3 linked regions of the Stegostoma tigrinum genome follow. The protein of the gene in region 3 interacts with the protein of the main gene of each other region in a biochemical or structural test. Links are inferred from orthologs where the notes say so. Each region holds a gene or a part of one and is shown on either strand. Other genes may lie near its edges. The genes, in order: protein argonaute-2, cnot1 and trinucleotide repeat-containing gene 6A protein-like.

Region 1 (7,697 bases), on a different chromosome or scaffold from region 3:
GATCAAAGCTTGATGGATCAGCTGGTGTCATTTTGCAAGACTGATAATGAAGTAGTCCCTATCATGAATATCAATGCTGCCACATATCAAGGAGAACTTTTCAGTAGCTCTGATTCACATTGTTTTTCCACCCTTGGAATACTGGCCATTCAAGGGTTGAGAACACAGGATCTGGCCAGGAAGACAGTTTTCAGACAAGTGGATAGTGTCCAGTCCACGACACACTCCTTCTGCCACCTTGTTGCTCACTCAATTAACTTGTCTGACTCACAGCTTCCATGATTGGAGATGCCAGTGTAGGCCTGGGATGGGCCAGGTCATAAAACACATGACACCAGGTTATAGTCCAACAGGTTTATTTGATAACACAAGCTTTTGGAATCTTACTACCTCTCTCACTAACATCTGAAGGAGGAGTAAGACTCCAAAAGCTTGTGTTTTTAAATAAACCTGTTGGACAATAACCTGGTATTGTGTGATTTTTGACCTTCGTAGCTTGCATTCACACATAGCTTTGACTCATGATACTACCTGGATACATTACTCAGTGTTGTCATCCAAATCATGAATATAGATTGGAAATAGCCAAGATCCTAGCACTGATCTTTGCACCACTCCACTAGTCATAGTCTGTAGACTTAAAATGTCGATTTACTCCCATGATCTGCTTACAGTATGTTACTGATTTTAAAAAAGCTGACTAATTGGAAGCAAACAGAAATAGTCAATGAATATCTTCTGGAAGAAAAGATTGTAGTGCAGTTCCCCATGGTTCAGTATTGGGACCCTTGCTCTTCCAGATATGTATTTGTGATCTAGTCTTTGGTGTGCAGGGGATAATACAAAACTTGGAAGCATTTTAAAACGTGAGGAACAGTGATAAATCATAGACAGATTCAAGGATGAATAGATTGCAGGTGATGCATTTTTATACGAAGAATATAAATACAGAATGGGTATAACTCTAAAAGATAGGCAGGAGCAGAGGGACCTGGATCTTAATGTGAGCATATAATTAACACTAAAGATCAGGTGGACAGCGCATTACTAAAGCATACAGTATCCTGAGTTTTATACCGGGTCACAGAGTACAAGGGTAAGGAGATGATCCTGAATTTGTATCAAAACACACAAAGCTGGATAAAGTTCTGGGGGTGACACTGGAGAAAGGGTACAAGAGATTTACAAGGATGAGACTTCAGTTACAAGGAAAGATTAGACAGCTTGGGAATGTTCCCCTTGGAAGGAATAAAGATAAAAGATCACAGAAGTTTTCATAATAGTGAGGGGTGCTGAATAAGTACATAGGGAGTAAATGTTTCCACTCAAAAGAATCAAGAATGCAAGGGTACGGATTTAAGGTGGATGACAAGATGAGAAGATGTGAGAAAAAAAACATTTTCAGGCAATGAGCTGGTCAGTCAGAATACACTGCCTGCAAGTGTGTTGGAGCCAGTTTCAATGAGGTATTCAAGAGTATGTTAGATGATTATTTAAGTTCTGAGGAAGGGTCACTGAACCTGAAACTAACTCTGTTTTCTCCTTCACAGATGCTGCCAGACCTGCTGAACTTTTCCAGCAACTTTGTTTTTGTTCCTTAAGTTTACACACAGTTTTAGAGGGATAAACAGAAATAAATTATTTCAAATGCTCAATGAGTTAATGGGTATAGATTTAAGATAATTTACAGTTGATGTAAGCAGACTATGCATATCTACATTGATAAAAGAAAGTGGATAAAGATTTTAATTAAAACTTGAGAGGGTATAGGGATAAATGGATAAATCTTTTTTGAAGTCCAAGATGGTCAAAATCACCTGTCATCTAGTAGGATTCAGAGTACAGTTAAAAAAGAATCAAAAATAAGACCATTCTCGCATCATTACGAGATCAAGCTCAGTGTGGACTTTTTGTATATTTCAATAATGCACAGTTTATTCTCTTAAAAAATTACGTTTACCTTTCCCAAGCGTTAAGTTAAAACGCATGACAGAAATCCAACTATAGTACAACGCTCCTCTCTCTCTCATCCGCATAGTAACACACGTTTGCATCTAAAAACCGAAAGAACTGCGGAAGCTGTAAATCCGGAACAAAAATAGTAGTTGCTGGAAATGCTCAGTTCGGACCAGAGGAAGGGTCAGCGGACCCGAAACGTTAACTGATTTTTTTTTCTTCTTCACAGATGCTACCAGACCTGCTGAGCTTTTCCAGCAACTTCTGTTTTTGTTCGCGACACTTTTGCATCTGTTTTCTTTCATTGTCGGCTTTGTCAAACCATCCAGCCTAGTTTACTTCCTCCAGTAATTTAGGAGTGAAGTGAGAACAATTACCCGACTCCTCTCATCTTGAGTGCTGCAAGTTAAAATCCGAGTGGGAAAGTACTACAGAGGCTTTACGTCCATTCGAAGCTGAACCACGGGAACAGCTGACAGTGATAACCCCACGCAGTCCTGATTTACTGTATTTATGAAAACAGCAAAGTATCGCCTTTATGGTTATATTTATAAAGTTCACGGGGGCGGGAGCGGAAGGTGGACGGAAGAGAACGAAAGACGGAAACTTTCCAAACGCGAGGGGAGCCCACAGCACAGCAAAGCTGGCAGCTAGAACACGGCCCGGTTTACAGCAGGTCACCCTTCCAACTTCAACCTGGGGCACTCCTCGTAGCCGAGTCCCAGGCTTGGATGAGGCCTCAATAGAGACAGGGTGGCCGCAAGCAACATCAAACTCCTCAGACCTCTGTAAGGCGCCACTTCAAACGATGAAAAACTTTTTTTTAAGAAAAGGAAGAAAAAACGTGAAGCAATAGCTTACCGGGTTCGCCGGCGGAATACATCCTCGTTTAAAGGGGAGGGAAGCAGCTGGCTGAGAAGAGATGGAGAGTTTCCCTTCCCCCCTCCCCCGTGTTTATGTAAAATTATAGTACAAACAGGAACAAAACAGCACTCATGAGGAAGAAAAACATTAATAATTCCCGATGGAGAGATGGGGGACATACGAGGAAGGATAGTGAAACGGGGACAGAAAACCCCGGGCCAGACACTTGACGGGCGGTGCAACGCGCAAGCGCAGGAGGCGGTCCCCAGCGCGCCGCCGTACGCCCGAACGTTACGCCTCCTCTCCCCCACCCCGCGACCGCAAACGCCTCGCGCCTCCCGCCTCCCGCGCGCGCGCCCGCCATTCGAGCCAGCGGAGGGCGCCAACGTGTAGCGCGCATGCGCCCTCGACAGGTCGGACCTCCAGTGCGGGTTGGGCATTCCACCCATGTGGTTGTGCGTTTTTGTAGTATGACAGTAACTGGGAGAGTGAATGTGAGTGTACGTGTCGAGAAACAGAGAGCTGTGGAGGCAAAATGCCTGTGTAACGTTGAAGGCTGAGCTGGGCAGATGCCCGATCAGGAGGGGAATCAAAGATCACGGGAAACAGCAGTGTTTGTGAGGAGAGACTGATCAGGCAGAGCAGGCTGGAGGGCTGTTTGGTTTTAAACACCTTTTGCCACTGCAGAATGCGCTTTTTTTGACATCAGTTAAAAACTTCCGATGAAGTTTGTGACCGCTTCGCAGAACATCTGCCTTCCGCTCAGAAAAAGAGACCCTGAACTACTTGTTGCCTGCCACTTTAAAGCACCACCGCGTTCCCTGGCCAACATCTCTTGTCTCTGGCTTGCTGGTGTGTATCAGCGAAGCTCAATGCAGAAGGACAACACCTCATTTTCCACTTGGGGACCCCTTGCAGCCTTCTGGACTCAATACCGAATTCAATAATTTTAGGACCTAAACTCTCCCATGTCCCAGACCCCCACCCCACACACCAGACCTTGTTACCATGGCATCACACACCACCTGCTATTAGTCATTATTCACCCTCCCAGCCTGATCATTATCAACTGTTGACTGTCCAACTGCTCCTCTCTCTTTGGGCTCTATTCTATCATTTGCTCCCTACCCCTTCCCCCGTCTCTTATTTTCTGCATATAAACTGCTGCTTTCCCAACCACCATCAGTTCTGAAAAAGGGCTACTGGACCCAAAGCATTAGCTCTGTTTTTTTCCTTCACAGATGTTGCCAGATCTGCTGAGCTTTTCCAGCAACTTTGTTTTTGTTCCTGATTCACGGCATCCGCAGTTCTTTCAGTTTTTAAAAACTTATGATGTTTTTTAAATTGCACCCGGGTGCGATTCCAGCCCCGGGCGACTGCCTGTATGGAGTTTGCGCGATCTCCCCATGTTTGCGTGGGTTTCCTCCGGGTGTTCCAGTTTCATTCCACAGTCCAGTGATTTGGAGGCTAGATGGATTGGCTGCAGTAAATTGCTCATAGTGTCCAGGGTAAGAAACGCAGGGATAGGGTAAGGGGTGGGTGTGGGTGGGATTCTCTGCGGAGGGTCGGTGTGGACTTGTTGTAACGAATGGTCTTCTTCCACACTTCAGGGATTCTCTGACTCTAAAAGATCTGTGAAGTCTTTGCAGAGAAAATACATATTGGAATTTTGACCTTCCTCAGAGCTCGCCTACAGTTGCAAAACCAAAGCATTTTCTACTCATAGTAGATAACTATTTACATACATTTTGAGGCAAGGACAGGATCTGATAACTGACCCATTTAATTTGGAAAAATGCAAAGTATTACATTTTGGTGAAACAAACAAAGACAAGACTTATGCAATCAAAAGTAGGGCCTTGAGCAGTGTTGGAGAGCGGAGAAACATAGGGGTTCAGATACATTATTCTTTGAAGTTTGCATCACATATAGATAAAGTGGTTAAGAAGGCATATATCACGTTTGCCATTATTGCTCAGACCTTCGAATATAGTAATCATATGTTATGTTGAGGTTACCCAGGGAGCAGTGAAGCCTCTTCTGGAGTACTGTGTCCAGTTCTGCTCATTCTATTATGGGAAGGATATTATTAAACTGGTCAAGGTTCAGAAGAGATCTGCCGCAATGTTGCCGGGAATGGAGGGTTTGAGTTATGAGAGGCTGGACAGTCTGGGATTTTTTTCACTGGAGTAGTAAGTTGAGAGGTGAACTGAGAGGTTTATAAAATAATGAGGAATATAGATAAGGTCAATGGATAAGGGTGGTGTATTTCAAGACTAGGAACTGTATTTTTTAGGTGAGAGGAAAAGGATTTTAAAAAGAGACAAGGCAAATTATTTACACTGGTTCGTGTGTGGAATGAACATCCAGAGGAAGTAGTGGATTCGGCAACAGTTTAAATGACAATTGTATAAGTACATGAATAAGAAGTGTATGGAGGAATATGGGCCAAGAGCAGGCAAAAGGGACAAGCTTAGTTTGGGATTATGGTCAGCTTGGACTGAAGGGTCTGTTTCTGTGCTGTAATACTCTATGACTCTAGATCCTTGTTGTACTTCAGCAGAAAGACCTTAGATGGTGCTCTTTCCTCACTGCTTTTTGGCAGCAGCTGCTCCAAGTTTTAGTGAGTCCCTCAGCGTGTAGTTCTGCACCTGGAAAGTGCCAGCCTGTAGCACTCTTTCGAGATCAACTCTTTACACTGCAAGGCTGACAGATTTCTTCCAGACCAGAGAACATCTTTCACAAGAGTTGATGTTTTCCAGGTGCGGTCAATACTTGTCTCAGTGCCCGTACAGCACGGAATTCTGCTACCCCCGCAGCTGCCTCAAGGACAGCAGTGGTGTCGGAGAGAGTCTGGGTGAAAATGAAGAATATGACTCTTAGTGCCCTTCTTGCCAGCAGCCAAGTTACAGTTTAGTGCTTGTTGCCAAGTTCTGGTGATGAGGCATTCAGCCAAATAGGTTTGACAGTCTGCTCTGGGAAACCACACAATAATGAGGTCAGGCCTATCATTTGTAACACCAGGGGCAGTTTGGACCTCAGTATGTAATAATACATGGTGTTTATTTACTGACGGTCCACGCACAGTTTGATGCAGAGCACATAAAGTTAGCCATGAGGATTAGGTTGGCATTGGGTATGTCCTTCTGCCAATCTGGAGCTTTGTACATGATGTCTGAATATGATCCATCTTTGATCTCCAGAGAAAGTGGCTCGGGTGACTGCAGTGGTCAAGGCTGGGAGAATGGGCCCGACCTGTGCCATGTGCAGCAACACCAAAATTACCTCGCACCTGATGACCAGGCTTTTACCTCCAGTAGAGAGAGAGGCTGGTGCTCCCATCTGCCTAGTTTCTACTTTTCCTTGGCAATATGCTCCTCCCAAGTTTTAGCACACGCCGTGGCCTAAATGAATGATATTCCCAACATCTTCAGGTGATCTGGCATGATGGTAAAGCGGATAAGGATCAGTTGATCCAGTTCCCAAAGAAAATGGCCTCACTCTTGCCTTGATTTACTTTGGCTCCTGATGCCAGTACAAAGTCATCCTTGTTCAGGGAGGCTTTCTACTGCCTCGAAGAGTCACCCCTCCCAGGCTTGAATCCATCTGGATGGACTCGGCAAAAGGCTCTGTGCAACACAAAAAAGGCAGGAGAGAGAGGAGCCCTGCCCAACTCCAGATATGATCAGGAAATCTTTTGATTCCCACCCATCAATTGAGACTGTGCTATTGATATTAAAAGAAAAAAGAACGGAACAGCACAGGAAAGGCCCTTCAGTCCACCGAGCCTGCGCCAACACATGAAGCCTTTCTAAACTAAAAACCATTGCCTCTATGCAGTCATATCCCATCAAGATTCTTCTTGAACATTGCTATCGTATCTATTTCTATCACCTCCATTCCCGGAACTTACCACCCTCAGTGTAAAGAACTTGCCCCTCACATCATCTTTAAATCTTCCCCCTTTTACCTGAAATCTATGTTATCTAGTAACTGACATTCCTACCCTGGAAAAAAAGACTTTGACTATGCATTCTATCCACACTTGTTATAATTTTGTTAACTTCTATCAGGTCATCCTTCAAGTGAAAACAAACCAATTTTGTCAAATCTCTCCTTGTAGTACCCTTCAAATCAGGCAACATGCTGGTAAAACTTTTCCATGCCCTCTCCAAAGCCTTTGAATTTGATGTATAGCAGTTGGATCCAATTGTGGATTTCTTCCCTAAAGCCCATTTTGGAGAGGACATTCCTGATGTAGATGTGCAATATCCTGTCAAAGGCTTTCTTTGGTTCTGTAAAGTAACATTTTGAGGAAATAAACAAACATTGGCGTTTGTCTGTGTCCAAACAAACCAAAGACATCTCTTACACATACAAGACCACATTTACATTCATTGAGGTATCAGGAGGGTGAGATAACTGAATGGACCTCCACTTACCTTCAGCAGGAAGACCTCAGAACAATGGCTTTATCCAGTGTGCCTTGGTGGCAGCTACACCAGGCTCCATTGCGGCCCTCAGCACATAGTCCTGGACCTTGGGAACATGCCAGCCTGCAACACTTGGTTGAGGTCAACTCCTTGTTCTGGAAGGCCAACAAGTTTCGGGCAGACCAAAGAACGTCTTTTACCGTTTTGATGGTCTGCCAGATGCAGTTAATGTTTGTCTCGATGTGTATCCTGGGGAACAGATCACAGAGCACAGACCTGCTGTGGACAAACCCTGTCAAAAACCACTGCATCTTTCTCTGGACACCCTTTGCAAAGGCACATTCCAGCAAGGGATATGTGACAGTCTAAGCACCGCCCCCTCCACCACATCTGCTTTGAGGGCAACATGCAGTGACACCAACCGACCTGGCTTACATGAAGGAT
Region 2 (7,334 bases), on a different chromosome or scaffold from region 3:
CATGCTTGCTTTCATTACTGAGACCTTTTGAGTATAGGAGTTAGTACCATCATGTTGAGGTTATTCAGGAGGTTGATGAGGCTTCTTCTGGAGTACTGTGCGCAGTTCTGGTTGCCCTGCTATAGGAAGGATATTATTAAACAGTAGAGGGCTCAGAAAAGATTTACCAGGATGTTGCTGGGGATGGACAGTTTCAGATATAAAAAATAGGCTGAAAAGACTGGGACTTTTTTCGCTGATGCATAGGAAGTTGTAGGGTGACCTTAGAGGTTTATAAAATTATAGAGGCATTAGTCTTTTCCCTAGGCTGGGGGAGTTCAGAACCATATTTTTAAAATGAGAGGAGAAAGATTTAAAAAGAATGGGCTTTTTTTTTAAAAAACACATTGGCATAGTATGGGAACTGGACTGCCAAAGGAAGTGGTGGATGCAGATACAGTTACAACATTTAAGACATTTGGATAAGTACATGAATAAAAAAGGGTTGGAGAGAAATGGGCCAAATGCAGGCAGCTGGGTTAGTTTAGTTTAGGAACATGGTCAGCTTTGACTGGTCAGACCAAAGGGTCTGTTTGCATGCTGTATAATTCTATGACTAATCATAAATTAGCAAAGCCAACTTCACATACAATTAATAAATTTGTAGCAGAGCAAGTCACTAAACTTCCTGAAGTACTTTTTTTTAAGGCTGGGTAAATTCTCTCCTTAAAGATCACACATTGACTGCTTTCCTCAATGTTCAAAAACTTCAGTAAGTTTTAGAACTCAGTTGAATTTTAAACTATGACAAGAACAAGTTGCAAATTGTTTTGAAAAGATCAAAACAAAATCCAAAAATACCCAAGGATTCCAAACTATCTCATCACAGATACTGGTCGAGTTTTTTTATTCATTCATGGGTTGAGGGCATCTGCTGGCTAAGCCAGCATTTACTGCCTACCCCAGAGGGCAGGTCTGAGTTAACCAGATTGCTGTAAGTCTGGAGTCACATGTAGTCCAAGGAAGGATGGCAGTTTCCATCCCTAAAAAAACCAATAGTGAACCAGGTCGGTCTATTCAAAAATTGACAATGGGTTCATTGTCATTAGAGTTCAATTCCAGAGTTTTCTTCAATTCAAATGTCATGATTTGCCCTGGCAAGATTTGAAACCAGGTCTCCAGAACATTACCTGTCTACAGATTAATAGTCCAGCAATAATTCCATTAGAGCATTGCCTCCCCTTGAGTATATTTCCAGTAATTATATCAAATAAAGTTTGCTGTAAAAGAAGAACGATTGTCTTTCACTGTCCTAATGTATAACGATCAAGCAATAAGTTACAAAACTGCACCTTCTACTCAAACATATCTTCAAGCAAGAAGACAATTCTGAATTCAAGTGGTTTTCTCATTTGTTTCAGGTTTCAATTTTGTCGACTGTTCCAGCTTAATCATGACAAAAAATTTCAACACCTTTGTAGTTGCCATTCAACTATATGGTATTTTCTACAAATCCCACTTCCTTCCAATGGTTGACAGACATGTACTCAACTTTCCAAATGCAAGGAACAGTCACAGTCACAATTAGATGACACTTTCAAAGAACAATTTGCTTTTGAAGTCCAGTGATTCACAACAAATGAGCTAGAGAAGTTTCTCTCAACTTGTAAGTTAAACAAGGGAATGAACTAGTTCAATTGACTAAGAGACACATTAGTATAGTTAAATTGAAATAGAATTCTAATTAAACTGAAACAAAACAGGAACCAAATGAGACCTTGTTAAGCTGTCAATTAATCTGAATACTTCTAATTAAAATCTTTGCAGATTAATTACTTAATATTAAACGTTTAACAAATCAAAAAGTTGTGTTAAGTACGAAGTATTGCTGAAAAGAATTAGTTTCAACTACAGGTCCATACACAAGAAACAGACAAGTTCCATTCGTTCCCTTCCCCCACTTTTGATGTCCCCTTTACTAGGCCTCACTCCTAAAGGTGTTAGTTACGAGCACCGACTTGAGCAGTTTATACAAAGCGTAAAGTTTACCAAACGTGGAAAAAAAACTTTCTGCCCATCTGTTTCAGCAGCTAATATCCGAGGGAGCTTTCCCTCTCTTACACGCTAAACAATTTTAAGTTCAATATGTGACCATTAACTTTTTGGTAGGCCCAGACTTCACCATGTGAGTTTGTATTTGCCTTTCTACTTTCTTATTGTTACAATTGTTTGATGTTTTATCATTATAAAGGAGTAACCAGTTTGCAAAGACAGTCGTTTTGTTTTCTAAAAAAGAATTGTTACATCAGTTTCCCTCTCTCTCACACACATAACACTTTCGTTTTCTCGGTGAAATGAAGCAGGCCTCAGGCTCCCGGGGCCTCTAGTACATGGTGTGCGAGACTTGTTTCTCGGCAAACTCACATGAGAGATCTCCTGCTGGCTGGATTTGTAATTCTTCTTGGTCAGGTTGTCCACAAGGTAGCTGATTTGAGACAAGGCCAGCGATAACGAGTCAAGATTCATTGCTGGTCGGGGCGGTCAGCTGAGGAAAGCGGGAAATGGTCATTATTCCCCTTTCTTTTACTGGAAAAAGAAAAATTTATCTCTCCTCTTCAGCGCCTTTCCTTTCTGTCTGTCTGTCTGTCTCTCTCTCTTTTTAAATATACAACGATGGAAGAGGGAGGGAATTGAGGGGTTCGGAGGAGGTGGTGGTGGTGAGGAGGGGAGGGGGGTTGGGGAGGAAGAGAGCTCCTTCTAAGTGTTCTCACGGGAAAGTCCGCCGCTCCAATGGTCACTCCACAAAGTGTCCGCTCCGCTTCCTCTTCAGACTTTGTCCCCGTCAGTCTCAGTCTGTATGTGTGTGTGTGTGTGTCTGTCTGTCTCTCTTCTCTCTCTCGATTTCAGTTAGGTCCGCCGCCCGGGTTGCTCGCTCACTTTTCACCCGCTGTCGCTCCTCTTCCTCCTTTTCTTCCTCCTCCTCCGTGTAGCCTGAACATGGCGCTGCTCTGCCGGTAGGGTTACACACACACACACACAGAGCGAGAGAGGAGAGGCCGAGAGTGTGGGGAGGATTGGGGGGGGAAGAGAGAGAGAGAGAGGGGGAGGGGATGTTGGGGGGGAGGGGATGTTGGGGGATAGCAGCCTGGGGGAGGGAAAGTAAGGAGGAGAGGTGAGGTGGAGGAGGGGTGGGAAGGGAGAGGGGAAGAGAGCGCGGCGTGGGCCTGGGCCTGCTGGGCCGGGGAGGTTGTTGTTGTTGTTGCTGCTTGGAGGTGGTGATGGGGAGGGGGGGCGGCGGTGACGGGGGTGCTCGCTCTCGACTTTCTCGCTGATGGGCTCGGTGCAAGCGGCTGCAAATGGCGGCGGCCTCGCTCACTGCGCCATCTTGGAAACACCGACCCTTCCAAAATGAGAGAGAGAGAAAAAAAACACAATAACCACACGGAGAGGAGAGGAGAGGAGGCGGGGGGGGGAAGGCGAAAATATGTTCCTCCAGGAAACTTTTCAGGGCCGACCCGATCGTGTTTGCATTTTCTCCGGGAAAGAAATGAGCCTTCAGCTTCAGTTTATTGCTTGCTTTTTTGGTTTTCTTTAAAAAAAACACACCGACACTAGAAGGAAAACAATCCCCGAACCCGCCGCTTAGTCGGGCGAGAGCGAGACTGTTCGGATAGAGGAGGGGCGGTAAACAGTTGAGGGTTTCCGGTTAGCGGGTTCAAGCTGAGAACAGTGCGGGTATATGTTCAAAGTTTGTTATTTTATTTCTTTAATTGTTTTTTTAAAAAAACATGTTCGGCCCTCCCCTCCTCCCCTCCTCCCCTCCACATCGCCCTCTCTGATATAGTTCGAGAGAAAGACGCTCTCCCTCAAGCCCCGCCCCCATCCGCCAGGACCAGTCGCAGGCCCTGGTCGTACCCGCCAATCATATGCCCTGCCCCCAACAAGCCGTGGCCAATCACACATCCCGCCAAATACCCGCCACAATCCGCCAATTACAGGCCACTCGACTTCAACCCGCCATTCACAAATCCCGCCTACGCTGACCTGTGCCGTGACTGGCACAGCGCGCCTACACGCCAATCATCAGTCTCCCACACCTCATCCATCTCAGAGGAAATCCCGCCCCCAGGTTCCCGGGACGTCATCGGGGGGCGGGTAGGGGAAAGAAGGCATCCTCATGTCAATCATAAACACTCCCGGCCAATCACGGCTAGAAACCACGCCACTCACGTCGCCCATGGCGACAGTAAACCTCGCGCCTAATATGCACATCACAGGAATCGCCCATTTCGCCGCCAGGGGTTCAACAACAAACCCCGCCCTCAGTTGCCGGGACCGCGTACATAATACAAGTCAATCGCAGACGTCTCTCTGTCCCCACCAAAATTGGTACAGTCCAAACTTTGTCGCCCTCTTTAAGATAAACGAATTTTTACTTTAACGAACACGCAAAATTTTACTCTGTAGTTTCTTTTAAATCGAATCTTCGTGGAATGGGTGTTTTTTTAGTTTTAAAAGACATTTCATTCTGTGCCAACAGGGAAATTCTTGTTGAAGCGGAATATTCCGAATCTGTACCAAGTGTTGGGGGTAGGTTATTCTCTAATAATTATTAGGCGCGTTAACGAGAGAGGAGCAATTTGTTCATCCTACCCTCCTCCCATCTCCCGGGGATTAACCCTCTCAGCACCTCTACCACCGCGGGGATTGACCCTCACACAGCTCCTTCCCCCGTCCACCACCCACGGGATTAACCATCACAAACCGCCCTCTCCCCCCAACAGTCTTTTCCCTCCCCATGATTAACCCTCACACAGCTCCTCCCCCCCAATACTCCGCCTCTCCCCCCGGGATTAACCCTCAGCGACCCTCCCCTACACTAACCATCACCTCCCCCAGATTAACTGTCACACACCTTCCCGGCCCCATATTCCACCCCTCTTTACCACCCCCCCCCAACTTTGATTAACCCTGTGAGCCTTACACACCCCGGGGATTGACCCACCCGCTTCACCACGCACCCTGGGGATTGACCCTCAGGCAGCCCCTCCCAACCCCCACGCCTGGAGATCGACCCTCAGACAGCCCCTCCCCACCCCCACCCCCACTCCCTTCCCCCAATTAATTAACATCCCATCCCACCCCTCTGGGAGTTAGCCCTTATAATCCTTTCAGGATTAACCCTCACACAGCCCTGCTTCTATTCCACTCTTATCATTATACCTCTGAGCGTAATTCAATGCTGTTCTGTTCAGTTATTCTGCGACAGCAAGTTCCACCTCACTACATCCTTCATGTGAGGAAATTAAGTTTAAATGTTTCAGTTAATTGGTTCTCCAATGGCAATGGACCTTGCATGCCACCTATTGGCCTTTCGCCACCCTTCACCCAACACAGTTGCCATTCCTAAAATAGCATTAAAATTATGGAAAATTGATGTTGGTTTTGGTAATGTCTCGCTTAAGGTGGGGAGCTTTATTTTTATGTTGGCCTCCATGTTCACCTGGTTCTTCTGATTGTTTAAAAATCCAAATTTGTGATGGTGTGTTGTAACAAGATAAAATATAAAACAATATTGTTGTTTCTCACACTTTTGACAATTTATGCTACACATGGGAGCCGATCCAGTTGTGTGATGACACAAGTGGATTCTGGTGTGTTCTCACAATTAACCCTGGCATTGCATATCAGTGATTTGCGATTGGACCTACCCATGGACTACCTGGAGGACCCTCACAGAAAGCCATTGACCAGCAAACAACACCTTGAGGACTTGTAAAAAATCTGTTAAAAGAAATTGCAAGCTCCTCAACACAACAAAAACTTTTTTTCAGTGGCAGTTAACTGTCATTTAGCTGTGAGTGATTCTTTGAATCAGTGCTAACTACTGTGAACAGAAAGCTGATACAGCACTTGTAACTTGGGTGTGGTTTAAGAAAGGTATACAAAAATAAATAGTCTCTGCTGATACTTGTCAGCATAGTGTGGGAATAAAGCGAGATAATCACAAATCAATGGGGAATTTGGAGCAGATGGCACTGTTTTTCGTCTGCAATGGTTGCAGTATTTTGAGTTGCCACTAAATATTTAATTTTTAGATAGGAGACATAACCAAAATGGTCTGTACTAGCTACACTTGAGTCTCCTTCCGTCTTCAATCTATCATCATAGATATATGTATTCCCTTTTCCCATTGTTTGTCTAGCATTTTCCACATTACAACACTGGCTCCAGTTCAAAACTTTGTAATTAGCTATAAAGAGGTTTAAGACTGGTGATTGCCATATGCTCTTAATGTACTACACTTTGCTAGTAGCAAGTTCCGTATTTTCAAGACTCTAAAATAGTTTATTCTTCTGAATTCTGCATTCGACAATGGGTATAAATGTCAGTCTATAAAGCGGTTGTCTTCCCAACACGCCCGTCAGGCTGCAAAATTTGGTTGACAAATTGGTGACACCTGGGAAAGTTTGAGACAAAACCATCAGTGCTGCCTATCGAATATCTAATCTGCATAACACCATGCAATATAAACAGCCTACAGGAAGTAGGCATCGTGAGCAAGGAAATGAACAATCCTACATGATAACTACTCCAGACAGGCCATTGCAGGAGAATGCTGAACACTTGTTCAAAATGACCTTTCTACTCCCAGCTCACGACTGGTCAAAGGTCCTAGGGTGGTCAACAGAACGGTTTTAAAGATACCATGAAAGCCTACTTGAATGTGATTTCAACAGCAGGGAAGAGAATGCACTGGATCATTCACAATGACTTGCTTCGCCAAGTCCTAACAGCTAATGTGGATATGTGATTTTTTTTTAATGCTATTTCTCTCTTTTATTTTACCTTTTCCACTGTTCTTTGTGCAGCTCAACCAAGTCTTCACCTCACCATGTGATCAGAGATAATGGGCACTGCAGATGCCGGAGAATCCAAGATAACAAAGTGTGAAGCTGGATGAACACAGCAGGCCAAGCAGCATCTCAGGAGCACAAAAGCTGACGTTTCGGGCCTAGACCCTTCATCCCTTCTAGGCCCGAAATGTCAGCTTTTGTGCTCCTGAGATGCTGCTTGGCCAGCTGTGTTCATCCAGCTTCACAATTTGTCGTCTTGCACCTCACCATGTGGGAGGTTTGCTCCCACAAACCCTTAGGGGTGGGATCTACTCAGGCCTATCTGGCCTGCTGTGGTAGAAGAAAATCACTTTCTGCTGTAACTAGAAGAGGCTGTATTATTGAACAAGAAATTGTGTGTTGCATGTTAGCATCTTGTTTAAGGTTACATTGATGCTATAGCCATTCAGAGATTGAAGAGAACCTGGAAATTATGTTTTACACTGTCAAGATCCTAAC
Region 3 (7,224 bases):
TTGTTCCATACACACACCGTCCTTTGGGTGAAAAGGACTCAGGTCCTTTTTAAATCTTTTCCCCTCTCACCTTAAACCTATGCCCTCCAGTTTTGGACTACCCCACCCCAGGCAAGAGGCCTTGGCTACATTCACCATTTCTGTGGCCCTCATGACTTTGTGAACCTCTACAAAGGAGGCTCCTCAGTCTCCGATGGTCCAACAAAAATAGCCCCAGCCTATTCAGCCTCACCCTATAGCTCAAACCCACCAGGCCAGCAACATCCTTGCAAATCTTCTCTGCACCCTTTCAAGTTTTACAGCAACCATCCCACAGAAGAACAACTAGAATTGTTCGCAGTAGTCCAAAAGCAGCCTCACCAAATGTCCTGTACAGCCGTGACATGACATCCCAACTCCTGTACTCAATGCACTGACCAATGAAGGCCAGCATGCCAAGTCCCTTTTTCACCACCCTGTCTACCCATGATTCCACTTTCAAGAAACCGTGCATCTCACCGCTAGATCTCTTTGTTCATTAACACTCCCCAAGACCATACCATTAACTATATAAGTCCTGCCCTGGTGCGTCTTACCAAAATGCAACACCTCATACTTACCCAAATTAAACTCAAACTTGGAGATATTACATTTAGTTCCTTCATCAATATTATTAATATATTGATTGTGAATAGCTGAGGACCAAGCACTGACTCCCGCCTGTACCCCAAAAGTCCATTTCTGGCACTCAAAAGAAACCTATTCTTTGTTTGCTAACAATCAGTTCTCTATCCATGTCAGTAAACTACCCCTAATCCTTTGCACCTTAATTTTTATATACTAATCTCTTACATGAGGTCTTTTCGAAAGTCCTTTGAAAGTCTAACTAGCCACATGCACCAGCCCTGACTGATCACCTCTACTGGCTACGTTTTCAAAACATGCTAGAGGATTTGTGAAGTATGATTTCTCTTTCACAAACCCATGCAAATGTCAATCCTGTCACTATTATCTGCTTTTACTGTCAAGATCCTCATATGTTGAAGGTTAACTTGACCGAGTCCTAGCCCTATCTTCCTAACAACCAGTCCTGAAACAGAAAAAGGCACAACAACGCAGGGACAGGATGTTGTCAAAAAGAACAAAGTTTTTTAAGCAGCAGCAACCTACCATACATAATCAAAAAATAAATAAAATTGCCCTTTTGGCAAGGCAATCATTGAAAATAGTAAGATTTATATTCCCATATTTGCACTTTCAACATTGCATCCAATGTGATCTCAGAAACTCAGCATTTGGTGGATAGAAAACCAACGTAAGCTTTTGGAGCTAGTAGGAACTGCCGATGCTGGAGAATCTGAGATAACAAGGTGTAGAGCTGGATGAACACAGCAGGCCAAGGAGCAGGAAAGCTGATGTTTCGGGTCGAGACCCTTCTTCAGGAATGGGTCAGACATCTTCATTTCTGAAGAAGGGTCTCAACCCGAAACATCAGCTTTGCCACTCCTCTGATGCTGCTTTGTCTGTTGTGTTCATCCAGCTCTACACCTTGTTATCTTATAAGCTAATGGAGCACCTTTCACAACCTCAAAACATCTCAACCTCAAAACAGAAGCTTGTTTTGAGGTAACGAATCCAAAATTTTGGAGCCTGTCCCATTCATGCTTGCACTGCCTGTATTTTTTTTTACGATATTACCATCATGCTAATGTTTGAATCCAGTCTCATAATTCTGAGAATGGCACATGACTAATGTGGCCCTCCACTGCACCCTACATTCCTGCTCACCACTTTTGCCTCCAGCTACATCTATAAATTTTATTCTTTAAGCCTTAGAAACCACCTAATTAACCAAATTTTTACCATTAGTCTTCACATTTTCATTCATTTAGTGTAAATGTGGATCTGGTCATAGTCCTGTGAAGTATGTTGGGATATCTTATTACTGAAAATGTGTCAGAACATTTTCCTACATTTATAAACGTCTCTCAAATGTTTAGCAGCTTCACAATTTCTATAAAAATTTAAACAGATTGAGGAATCATGTTTTTTTTGGCATCTGAGGATACACACACGCACACACACGATACGGAACTGAACCGTATGGACAAGGCAAGCTCACCCTAGAACTTGAAGTTAAGAAATAACAACAATGATAATATACTACAGGAACACTCATTCACCAATGAAAGATAATAACTACCTTCAAAAAATGGAGGAGCAAAGTAAATGCTCTCAAAGTAACAGCCAGTTGAAAGAATAACCACATCTGAAAAATCTGAATTACTTCTAAATTTGTATACACTGCACTTTACATCCCTTAATTTGCAGCGAGGCCGATCGACTCTTGCAAAATGCATGTTTACCAGTTAACATCTGGTTGGGCGGCACAACACGCCATGCCTTTCCTGACCCCGATCCAATCCCAGTTATTTTTATAGTATATGCAACATTTGCAAGTTCCAGTATTTATTCTACAATTTTTCTTCACAGTTCAACTCAAGCGAGATAAGGGGGGGGGGGGGGAGGAGGAGGAGGCTATACATGAGTGGGTGAAGGCCAGATATTTTCCTCCCCAAATTTAACTTGAATATATTTAACTGCAAAATGAACCAAAGGCAAACCTTACCTGTTTAGTTTACCTTGAGCTTCTTTGGTAGCGTTAGCCTCCAATCCTCTGCAATTAAACAGGCGACAATCAGAAGGCTATTTTGAGTATTATTTTTAAGCACAAAACCGCAGAAATGCCTTAAGTTCAGAGCGCTGCAATGCGGGATTTGCACACAGGCCCTATCCTACGGCTGCAGCAACAGAGGGGCCTACTTGTTTCTCTCTCACTCTCTCCACCCCATTACCCGACGCTCCCCCGTTTAGCGGCGACACAGCATCAAACAAAACGGTCGGTGGACTGCGTGCTCCCGAGCCGGCTCGTTTGCACAATCCAGGGAAAAAATAAATCTACACACCTCATTAATGTAAAGTGCAACAGTGAGAAATTCGAAAGCTAAACATGCGAATAAGGCTTTAACAGTGAGTGTGCGAGTGGCCGCGGCGCCAAACACAGCGATCACTTTCCACAGCCGCCATCTTCTCCTAACTGACAGGAACTGGTCCAACAGCGCGCGGCTGGGCACTTCCGGTCCGCAAATGGCTGATCACATGGCAACCGGCTCAGCATTGAGGGGAGGGCAGGAAAGAAAACGAGCTGTAAGTTGACAGTAAGCTCTCAAGGATGTACGAATACCAATAATAATTAATTCTCTAGCGTTGGAAGGGAGTTCGGAGACAGGAAGTCATTGGATATTTATCTCAAAAATCGCGTTTGGAAGTTAAATTAAAGACAGTCATTGTGCACACCCAGTTTTCTCCTCATGTAGTTTCCCCAGTTCAAGTCACCCTTGCCCGTTCATCATAGAATATTCGTGCGATATTCTACTGTACAACTTGTCCTCATCGAGCGATCACATATTTGTGCTTTCCAACCTCAAGTTTCCAAACTCCATTTTACCGTTGTTCTCATAGAATATTCGACCTTGGGCATTTTCACATTCTCAAGCAGTTGAGTTCGCTCGGCTGTTAGTTTCGACGGACTACCCCTGCAATTGATTTACTTTTTAATTCATTCCAATCTCAATAGATTTTGGTATTATTTTACCACAGTTGAATTATCTGGTGTTTTTTTCTGCATTTGATTTGATTGATTTTATTGTCACGTGTACCGAAATAGAGTGAAAAGCATTGTTTACGGTCGGTACAGGCAGATTACAGCAAAGGATGTACAGACCAAAGACATACAGGTTACATTATTTGAGGCTAGAGTCCTTTCAACAGTCTGATAACAGCCAGAAAGAAACTGTTCCTGAACCTGTCACTGTGTGTGTTCATGCTTCTGTATCTTCTGCCTAACAGAAGACGTTGGAGGAGTTCATTATCAGGGTGAGATGGGTCTTTGATGATGTAGGCTGCTTTTATGCGGTAGAGAGCTATTTAAGTAGAGTCCATGGATGGAAGGTTGACTTCTGTGATGGTATGGGCTGTGCACACCATCTTCTGTAGTTCCTTGCAGTCCTGGGCAGAGCAGTTGCCATACCAAGCCATTATGCACGTGGACAGTATGCTTTCAATGGTGCACCTGTAGAAGTTGGTGAAGGACATTATAGACCTGCCAAATTTCCTGAGCCACCTGAGGAAGAAGAGGCATTGTTGTGCCTTCTTGTCTTGCATTTATGTGAAGTCCAGGACAGGTCACCAGTTATCATCACTCGGAGGAACTTGATGTTCTTCACTCTCTCAAACTCAGTTTCGTTGATTTAGATGGGAGTGTGTTCTCCTCCTTTCTTTAAGAAGTCGATGATCAGTTCTTTAGTTTTGTTGACGTTGAGACAGATTGATTTCATTGCATCAAGTCACCAAGCTCTTTATCTCCCTTCTGTATTTTGACTCATCATTGTTAGATATCCATAATCAAAGTGATAGAAATCTGTTGGTGAATTAAACAATTTCCCTTGTTGGGTGCTGTGTATCATCATCAGGCATAGCTCAGAATAAAGCCATTCAAACCATCTGAAGTTAACCATATCATGAATTAAACGTAGAATAAAACTGACTTAACACTCTTTTATTTAATACCTCCAGGCAAGTACGGCGAAGGTTAGATTTTGAGTAAAACTCCTAAATATTATACTGTTAAACACTGATATTGTACCAGCTTTATCAGTCAAAAGATCCCTTTACTTTGTTTTATAAATCCCTTGACAATTCACAGTACATTTTCAATGAGAAAACCTTCTCCTCATAAAAATTAATCCTAAATTTAGAAACCTACATCTTCAACACTAATCTCAGACTTTCTTCTCTCTACCTACTAGTTTCTTGTGAGATTGAGCCCAAAGTTTATTGGCAACTTCTGGCACTTTCAGCCGTAGCATTGGAGAGATGCCAGCAGAGTGGTATTATCACTGGACCAGTAACTCCAGAGGCCCTGAGGACTTTTGTTTGAATCTCACTACAAAAAAAAATCCTGACATTTGAAATCACCAAATTTAAATGCGGAATTCAATGGTGGCCACAAGTGTTGTAAAGCCCTTTAGGGAAGTGATATCTGTAATCCTCACCTGGTCTGTTCTACTTGTGTCTGCATATTCACAGTACTGTGGTTGATTCGTAAATGTCCAGGAGTTGTACCTAACCACAACGAAGTCTGTTAAAGGAGATGAAACCAGGCAGACCAGAAGTGATAATGGCCCTGGTTGACCCTAAAATGTCCTCCTTACTAACATCAAGAGTCTTCTCCCAATTTTGGTATATATGTCCAACTGCTAGACATAGTCATTCTGATTGAATCAGATCTGACAGGCACTGTCCATGACACCATGATCACAAGCCCAATGACAGAAAAGAGCCACTGTAGCAGCACAGTGATAGGCATTCAAAAGAGTGTTTCCCTGGGATTCCTCAAGTTTGACTACAGGCCCCATGAAATCTCATGGATCAAGTTAAACATGGCCAAAGAAACCTCCTGCTTATTACCACTTACTACAGTTGATAAATCAGTTGTACTCTATTTTAATAGCCACTTGGAGGTCATACTGATGGTGTCAAGGACACAGAATGTACACAGGTGGGGACTTCAATGTACAGCACCAAGAGTGGCTCAGTAGCACCACTATTAGCAAATGTGTCTGAATCTTAAAGGACATAGCTGCAATACTGAGCTTGCAGCAGGCAATGACAGAACCAACAAAACGAAAAAAATATAATTGACCTCATCCTAAATGATCTACATTTAGCGGATACACCTGTCCCTGACATTATCGCACTGTCTTTACAGACTTCACTTTGAGGATACTTCCATCATTTTCTGTGGCAAAATCACTGTGTGGAATTGGTTAGATTTCAAACCAATCTAGCAAATGAAAACTGAGCAACATGATGTGCTGTGGATCAGCAGCACCAAAACTTTATGCAACATTTGACTTCATAGCCTAGGAGATCCCCAAATCAAAGATTACAAGCACAAACCTTTAGTATATTTCCAGAATGTTGTCATGACCTGTAACATTTACAGCAGCCAGTGCCTTCAGCCGTTGTTTGATATCATGTAGAGCAAATTGTGTTGGCAAAAGGCTGGCTTTTGTGATCCTGTAACTTTAGGAAGAGGCCAAGGTGAATCGTCAACTTGGCACTCCTGACTGAAAATGCTTCGAACTCGTTTTTTGCATTGATGGGCTGGGCTTCCCAATCGACAAGGATGGAGTTATTTGTGGAACCTACTTTTCCAAGTGAGTTGCTTAGTTGTCCAGTACCGTTAATGACTGGATGTGGCAGATTTGCAGAGCTAGGATCTGATCTGTTGGTTATGGGATTGCCCAAGCAGGGGAATCAACCCTGGTTCAATGAAGAGTGCAAGACATCACGTCAGGAGCAGCACCAAGTATATCTAACGATTAGATGTCAACTTGGTGAAGCCACAGAGCAGCAGTACTAGCAACATGTGATTAGACAGACTTAAGCAATACCAGGTTGACTGTCCTTGACATCAAGGCTGTGTTTGATTGGATGTGGCATCAAACAGTATTAGAATAACTGTCGTCAATCAGAATCAAAGGAGTCATATGTAGCACAAAGGACAATAGTTGTTATTGTTTGAAGTCAATCATCTCAGCCACAGGACATCACTGCAAGAGTTCCTCAGACTGGTGTCCTAGGCCCAAACACCTTCATCCATCCCTTCAATTATTTTCTTCCATCATAAGATCAGAGGTAGGGATGTTCATGAAGATTGTACAATGTTCAGCACAATTCACAACTCCTCAAATACCAAGGCATGGACAAAATTCAAGCTTGGGTTTATAAGGAACAGGTGCATCATATAAGTGCCAGGGAATGAACACCTCCAACAAGTGAGAAACCAACCAATGCCTCTTGACATTCAATGGCACTAAAAATGCTGAATCCCCTACTTTAAACATACTGGGAGTTACCAGTTACTAGAAGGTGAACTGGCTACAAGATGAAGCCATGAATTCTGCATCACGCAACTCACCTCTAGACTTCTCAAAGTCCATCTACTGGGCACAAATCAAAAGTGTGATGACATACTCTCCCCTTGCATGGATGAGTGCAGATCCAAGAATGCTCAAGAAGCTGTCTTGATCAAATGGGTCAATGGGCTGAAAAATCACAGATGGAACTCAATCTGGATAAATGCAAGATATTGCATTTTGGTACAACAAACAAGGGTAG

What was found.
Region 1: the proteins of trinucleotide repeat-containing gene 6A protein-like (region 3) and protein argonaute-2 form a complex in vitro, tested with the Homo sapiens proteins (2 studies listed by BioGRID). The link is inferred for Stegostoma tigrinum from reciprocal best matches to the Homo sapiens genes TNRC6A and AGO2.
Region 2: the proteins of trinucleotide repeat-containing gene 6A protein-like (region 3) and cnot1 form a complex in vitro, tested with the Homo sapiens proteins (2 studies listed by BioGRID). The link is inferred for Stegostoma tigrinum from reciprocal best matches to the Homo sapiens genes TNRC6A and CNOT1.

Annotation. Positions count from the first base shown.
Region 1 is NC_081358.1:112,179,793-112,187,489, reverse strand, and holds the start of protein argonaute-2, read right to left. Parts: upstream 3,070-7,697; 5' UTR 2,840-3,069; coding exon 2,818-2,839; intron 1-2,817.
Region 2 is NC_081369.1:4,604,506-4,611,839, reverse strand, and holds the start of cnot1 (CCR4-NOT transcription complex subunit 1), read right to left. Parts: upstream 3,076-7,334; 5' UTR 2,917-3,075; exon of another isoform or gene 2,525-2,916; 5' UTR 2,506-2,524; coding exon 2,404-2,505; intron 1-2,403.
Region 3 is NC_081376.1:22,159,158-22,166,381, reverse strand, and holds the start of trinucleotide repeat-containing gene 6A protein-like, read right to left. Parts: upstream 3,076-7,224; 5' UTR 2,951-3,075; coding exon 2,946-2,950; intron 2,657-2,945; coding exon 2,609-2,656; intron 1-2,608.